2 linked regions of the Notamacropus eugenii genome follow. The protein of the gene in region 1 purifies or fractionates together with the protein of each later gene. This does not show direct contact. Links are inferred from orthologs where the notes say so. Each region holds a gene or a part of one and is shown on either strand. Other genes may lie near its edges.

What was found.
Region 2: the proteins of ANAPC16 (region 1) and ANAPC4 purify together in Homo sapiens (co-immunoprecipitation; 10 studies listed by BioGRID and IntAct, with this or other methods). This does not show direct contact. The link is inferred for Notamacropus eugenii from reciprocal best matches to the Homo sapiens genes ANAPC16 and ANAPC4.

Annotation. Positions count from the first base shown.
Region 1 is NC_092872.1:238,075,127-238,078,874, forward strand, and holds the start of ANAPC16 (anaphase-promoting complex subunit 16), read right to left. Parts: upstream 2,399-3,748; 5' UTR 2,326-2,398; coding exon 2,309-2,325; intron 2,045-2,308; coding exon 1,896-2,044; intron 1,482-1,895; coding exon 1,398-1,481; intron 1-1,397. UniProt on the Homo sapiens protein: Component of the anaphase promoting complex/cyclosome (APC/C), a cell cycle-regulated E3 ubiquitin ligase that controls progression through mitosis and the G1 phase of the cell cycle.
Region 2 is NC_092877.1:78,213,283-78,217,030, forward strand, and holds the start of ANAPC4 (anaphase-promoting complex subunit 4), read left to right. Parts: upstream 1-1,232; 5' UTR 1,233-1,491; coding exon 1,492-1,603; intron 1,604-1,709; coding exon 1,710-1,831; intron 1,832-3,748. UniProt on the Homo sapiens protein: Component of the anaphase promoting complex/cyclosome (APC/C), a cell cycle-regulated E3 ubiquitin ligase that controls progression through mitosis and the G1 phase of the cell cycle.

The DNA.
Region 1 (3,748 bases):
ACTTATTTCTAAATCTAAATGGAACCTCTTCTGCCCACATGGAAGCTACTGAGCAATTAAATTTTTAATTTGTTTTGAGGCCAAACTCCTTCATTCCACATAACTCATACTAGCATATGGGGTACTGTGCTTAACATAACAGAACACTAGCTCCAAGCTGCCTACAGGGTCAATGGTGCTAACACGTGCATCCTGGTACACAGCTCTTCTTCTCGCTCCAGATCTCTGTAAGACTAGAAGGACAGAAGCCCACATCAGAACTGTTATTAATTACAATCCCGGAACAAATAGAAATTCTGCTGCTTGACATTTAGAGATCTTCATGACCTGGCTCCTTCTCCATGCTCTGACAACCAGCCCCATAAGCTGGTCTTTGTACAGGCATTTTCCCTGGAATTTCCTTCTTCCTCATCTATGCCTCCTCCTCCTCCTGAAGTTTCAGCTAAAATCTCACTTTGTACAATCCTCCTAATTCTAGCATCTTCCCTCGGCTGATCATTTCTGAATTACCCTGCTTATGTCTCATTTGCCTGTCATCTCCCCTGCACTGGACTGTCACTGAGAGCAGGGATCATGTTTTTGCCATTCTTTATATTCTCAGAACTTAGCAGTGCCTGGCACAGAGTAGGGGCTTAGTAAAGACTGTTCACTGGACTATACTGCTAAGTTATCCACTATATTAATAATACAAACCAAGTCTAGAAGTCTTCATGGGCTTCACAGTTAACCCTCCTGCATTTTTCTTTCACAAATTACCTCTCTGCTTCCCCAGGTTAAAAGCACTGATTCCACAAGCAGATTCCTCAAGCGGCAGATTTCACCTTTCTCATGTGTGTAAGCAAAGAGAAATATCCAGATAAGTTTATAAATGTGAATACTGAAGGCTGTAATAGCCAAAAGGATGATGAACTGCTTTGGGAGGGGGAACAACTCTGCACCAGATAATAACCTTACGCATTTGCTTACATTGTGCTTTAAGGTCTACAAAGTACTTTTCTCATACCAACTCTACAGACGTAGCTAGGACAAGCACAATTATCCCCATTTTACATATGGAGAGAATGTGACAAGAAAGGTAGAGTGAATAGCCACACTGCCACTAGGTAGCAGAATCAGAATGGGAATTGAGGTCTTCTGATTCCAAGTTGAGCCCTTTTTTACAGACTATATAAAGCCTGCCTCTCATACATACTAACACTTCCAAGGGTCTGCCAAGGGGCCCAGATGCACTGGTGAGATTAGAAATAGAGAGATAAAGGGCCAATATCCTATATATAAGCAAGAGGTTAGCGGTGATCAGAATGGTTCCCATACCCCCAAGGGATTAGCTCAGTTGGTTACTGCATTATGCGAAAAAGGCTGAGATCCAGGGTTGGTTTTCCCATATGTAGAGTTACCTTTGCTCTTTTCCATGGCCACAGACTGCATCCCTAACCTTGGCCAGCTGTTTTGCAAATGTCTGTTGTTGGTCACAAGGAGGTCTGAATGAGAGAGTGAGGATGGTTCAATGCAAATCCATCTCTACCACTGGAAAAACTCAAAGCACATGCCCTGGCAGTGGAGTTAGTAATGTTAATTTTACATTTAGTCTATTTTAAAATTAAGTTTATATATACATAATTAAGTCTATATTAAGATTATTTTCATCTCCTAGAAACTAGGTAATGGGGTTTATTTTTCTTTAGTATGGTAAGCTAAAAAAAAAAAAAAGATACAACCTGCTAACTAGAGGACAGAGAGTTCCTTGGACATTAGGGACAAAACAGGGAACGTGAAAAAGAGGTTATTCTGTTTTGAGGCTGGTATACTTCTATCTACATTCCTTTTAATAGATACTTTACTATTTTATTATAAATTTGAATCTAATTATTCAGCAAAAAGCAGAGTATGTTCACCTTCTAACATTTCTCCAGCTCCTTTGGGGTAGGTGAAAAGGGCTTTCCGTGGTGGGGCAAGGTCTGAGACACTAAAGCCAGATCCAGTTACAGAACTTCCACTGACCCCTCCAGCTGAGGACGAGGATGAAGAGGCAGCCATTTTCTTTCTAGTCAATGAGAGAAAAAGAAAAAGAAAAACACAACAGCAGTTAGCAGGTTTATGGAAACAGAACCAGACAAGACTGAATTCAGTTCTGGGCAGCAGTCAGATCTCTCACAACCTCCCCATTCCTTATGTCCTGGGTGAAATCCTGACTCTAGTTCGGAAGAGAAAATAAATTTGCTGGTAGTTGGCTTTCTCAAAAATAACAAAAACAACAAACCACCACTACACCAAAAAAACACAACCACCCCCCAAAAAAACTTCCCACCTTTTAAAAAGTATCATTACTGATGTTAAAAGGAAGCTCCAGACAGAAGGTGTGAACAGTTTATAGGCTATAACCCAGGTGCCAAGGCAGGCAGTGCTGATGCAACAATGTGACTGGAGAAGAAACCAAACTATGTCACTGAGACAGCAAGTATGCCAGAAAGAACAATCTGTCCTGGACACACACTTATCACTCTGTGCCAAAACCAAATGTTATCAGAACTTCCAAGTAAACCTTTAGCCTCCCAGGTGAACACTGGGTTTCATTCCTGAGGTGAGGCAATCAGTCTGAAACACAACTTTTCATTTTTTGAGCTTTGCACACATTTAAAGCAAATGTAGTACTCAAAGTCATCACCTGGTGGCGTCTCCAAACTAAAAATACTCCCTAAAATCCATCAATTCAATAGCCTGGTTATGTTTAATATGGCTCCCAATGAGAATTTTCTACTTAAATTCACTACTCACTAACGGTATATGTAAAAAAAATAATTTTTGCTAGGCATATTTCCATAGTGCGTTGCATATAGTTGGTATCTAAATGTTTGCTACTGGAACTGAATTGCATTTAATCTAAATAACCCTGGAGAAAAGGTAGGAAGTTTGCCTATTTTCTGAAAAAGACTGTCTACTTTCTGGTTTTCCACATGAGGAAAAAAAGCCCAACAATCACCTCTGAGATACCATTCTGCTTCCTCACTGCTCTGATGTCCAAAACAAGAAGCCTGGTTTCTGGTTTATATGTGCAAGGGATACTGAGAAAGGTTACAGGTCTGTAGGCTAGGGGCTGTAGAGAAACTGGTACAGCCGGGAGCTCCTTAAAAGTGTCTCAATGGAATTAGCAATCTTACTATACCCTACATCAAAACCCTTCCTTACTTCTCACTAAGTTGATGACAATCAGTCATAAGGAGAAATTCATATGATCCTAAGTTTCAGAGTTTGAAAGAACGTTGAAAAGGAAGGGAAGGAAACCAGCATTTATAAAGTACCTTCTATGTGCACAGTGCTAGGCACCAGGCTAAGTGCTTTTCACAAGTATCTCATCTGGTTCTCACAACAACCCAGCAAAGTAGATACAATTATTACCTCTAGTTCACAGCTGAGGAAACTGAAGCAAACAGAGGTTAAGTGACTTGCCCAGGGTCACCCAGCTACTAGGTGTACTAAGTGTCTGAGGTAGCATTTGAACTCAGCTCTTCCTGACTCCAGGTTCATCATTCTATCCACTGTACCACCAACAGGTTCTGGTCATTTTGTCTAATCTTCTCATTTTACAGATGAGAGGGGAAGAGGGGGTCATGTGGAACTGAGGCCCAGAAAGTGTAAATGAAATGTCAAAAAGGTAAGTAGCCAAGCTAGAAGTAGAACCCAGGTGTTTTCCCTGTAAATCTATTCTCTTTTGACAACACCACTGCCACCTTCTTAGTAATGCTGATGT
Region 2 (3,748 bases), on another chromosome or scaffold:
GGCAACTACTTCTCAATGGGGTCAATCCAGACAGGCACACTTGTGCACTTCCCTAATTCCCCTCAGTCCTCGGTGAGGGGCCCCTTGAGGCACACACAGAATCCCCTATGGGTTCCCTGGGGTTTTCCCCCATGGACATGAAATCCCCCCCCCCCACCAGTGCCCACCTGCTTTATAGGGCAATCAGACAAAGAAGGCATCATGCCAACATGAAGTTCACAAGTTAACTTTAGCAACATTGTCATTCAGCACAATCGTAGTAAATATCAATTCTGTCACTCCCCTATCTCACGGTGCAGCCTCAGTATGATTCTAAGAACTACAATCTAGAATTCTTGAGACTTTTAGCAGTTACTATGTAACACTTGGAAACTGGACATTCCCATGGCCATAGACCCTGAGAAACTAAACTAAAAAAGATAACAAAATCCTCCTTACATACCGTAGTTACATGGAATTTCCAAAAGGAATATCCTATTAACTCATATACTCTGTTATTTTGGAAAAGGCACATCTTTCAGCAGATTTATAGGCACCTAACAGTTCTCAACACTTTGTGAGTTTGACATGCGATGACATTCAACGTTGAAGATGGTGAATGATGGCATAATTCACTCATTCAATAAGCATTTATTAAATATCTTCCGTATGCCAGGCATCGTGCTAAGCACCCGGGATACAGAAAGAGACAAAAGAAAGTTTCAGCCCTTAAGTAGCTTACAAACTCAGGTGGGAGACAACATGCAAACACACACACCTATATATATACGTGCATATACACACATATGTATATGTGCCCACACACACACAGAGTAAACTATGTTCAGGAGCACCTGGAAGGTACCGAAATCAAGAGGGGCTGGGGAAGCCTTCCTGGGGGATTTTAGTCGGGAGGAGTGGAGAAGACAGAGCATTCCAGGTCCAAGCACGGGGCTTTAGGAAAACCAAGCCTTCGTTTTTAGGAGAGATGGGGCGAAATTTTATAAAATATGAGGTTGCCTGCCTTATTTAGAATAGTGGTCTGCAGCCTGCCCTTTGCACAGCACATGGTCCGGGCTGTTCCAGTTTTTGAAAAAGCAGCTATTAAAGTATAAAAGCTTCCCTACAGCTTGAACCCCAGCGAGAAGGAATCCCAAGGGGCTCGCTGCGTGGCCGGAGGGTGCAAATAATCAAACAGCAGCAATGATTTCTACAACAAGCTCTTCCCCCGGAGCTCACGAACTTCAAAGAAAAAATGTTTTATTAATTATTTCACCGTAATTGGCTTCCTTTGGAAACTGACGAGATTTCACTCCTTTTATCTTAGGCGCTGCTCGTCATCGCTGCCATGACTGTAAGGACGGGTCCTCCGCACACGAGCGGTGACGTTTCCTCGGCTGTTGGACTGGAAGCTCCTCGAGGGTAAGGGGTGAAACTGACTTAAAGAGGGCTCTACACAGGCCGGGAGAGTGGCCACTTGGAGCCGCTGCGTCACCCACATCGCGCACGCGCATGGCGCTCCGGCCGGAAGTTCCAACCCCGGAAGTGCCTCTCGAGGCCGGCTCCGCTCCGGAACACGGGATCCGCGGCCGTGGTTGGCGCCACCACGGAGCGAACCTGCCCGGTAATGCGGCTGCGCGGGAGGCGAGGGGGCGGGGCCGGGAGGCGGCTGCCTCGGGAGTCTGGCGGACCCCGCGGTCCAGTTTGAAGAGGGAGGTTTGTCATTGCAGGACCGACTCCCGCGATGCCGGCCTTCAGACAGGTGGGAGAGAAGCAGCTGCCCCAGGAGATCATTTTCATGGCCTGGTCTCCCAAGAGGGACCTCATTGCCTTAGCCAACAAAGTGGGGGAGGTAAGTGAAAGACGGGGGATGCTCTCCCCCGCAACAGCGCCCCAGCCTCCCCGGGCCTCAGTTTCCCCTCCAGCTCCAGGTCTATGATGATACCCCAGAGCCGCTCTCCGGGGAAGGGACCTTTCCAGTCTCTGGGAGAAGCACAATGAACTCAAACACTTCTCCTCACAATCCACTGAAGAAGCTTCTGAAAAACATTGCAAAAATAAACATTGACATAGAGGTCAAAAGTTATCTTTCATTAGAAAGCAAGTTTACTTTAATATTTTTCTGTTTAAGGATTTTTTCATATAGAAAGCTAACACAGTCGCGTAGTAAGACGGAGAAACAATAGGTACCGAAATGGAAGCATGTGCGAGGGGTGCCAACATGGGCCTGATGATCGTGTCATTTTTGGTTTCCCATCGAAGTTGAAATATTTTCCAAAAAATTCAATAATATATAAAAAGTTGCGCATTACACTTTTACCAGTTGTCTGCCCTTTAAAATATCTATACGAAAAGACTAAGGTAGGGCCAAAAAAACCTAAAACCCTTTTACAATGCAAGACATGAGGTTAAAAGGTTGTGTTATCTGCCTTGGAGATGAGGAAATAGGTTCAGTCAGCAGGCATCTATGAAGTGCTTCAAACACTGCGCTAAGTACTGGGGATCCAGAGAAAAGTAAAAAAAAGTGAAGTCTCTGCTTTGCCTCAGACAAGTCAAGTGATTTACCCGGTGTAATGTAGCAAGTACTTGGCAACATTGTAATTCGTTCCCAGGTGCAAAATGTTCTGGTTTTTTTTTGGGGAGGATGATGCTGGAACAGGAAAGAGAGTTAGAGAAGGTTTTTCCAACTGGGCCTTAGTGACTTTTTAGGAGTTCAGTTGGTAAAGAAAGATGCAAGGGAAGAGCATTCCAGAATGAAGAGAGTGAGTGAGAAAGCAGGGGATATGTATGGAAAAAATGGAGTAAGTCATTTTGTTGGCCTGTAAAATGTCTCATTGAATTTGTGGTAAAAAAAAAAAAATGGTTGGGTTTGTTTCCCAGTTCCCACGAACACCTACTCCCTATGTAGTCTTCAGCAAGTCTTTTCACTTTTAGGTATCTGTTCAGTCTCCCATCTTCATGCCTTTGCACATGCCAGACCTGGGATACACTTTCTTATCACTTCTGCCTCTTGGAATTTCTGCTTGTTTTAAAATTCAGTTCAAGAGCTTCCTCTACATGAAGCTTTTTATTATCCTCCTAGATGCTAGTGTCACCTTGTACTCATTCCCTATGTGTTATGTTTATACTTATATGTATACATTTAGTCTTCCTCATTTAAATGTAAGCTCTTTGACAGCTGGGACTAAAGTTCCACTTTTGTTTTTATATCTTCAGTGCGTAGCTCAGTGTCTCATGCGCACAATGCTTAATAAATGCTCTTAGCTTTAAATCTTAGGAGTCTATGAATGTGTGAAGGGGAGTAGTGCGACATGAGTCTGGAAGGGGATGCTACTTGTAGTGAGAACTACATTATGGAGGATCTTGGGCTTTTTTTGACCTTTGATTTCATCTGTGTAAGGAATTTGAGAAAATTTCTTCCACCAGTACTGATGGGCAATTCTGAGTTGCTGAGGGGTTAATTAATTTCATGGTTATGCAGCTCTTATGTGTCAGAGATGATAATTGCACCTGAATCTTTTTGACTCAGTAGGGCAGCTTTGGAGAGTTTTAAATAGGGTGATGGACAGAGTGAAAGGAGGAGACAAATGCTAGAGGTATTGAAGAACACTTCAATATTTATATCATATACATGTAAGCAACTTGAGCATAGACATGTTTATTCTTTGTATTTGTACCCCTATCCCCTAGCATAGTGCCTAGTACGTAGTAATAAATACTTACTGATTTTTTAAGCAAACTGGATTTCTAGAGACATTTCAAATTCATC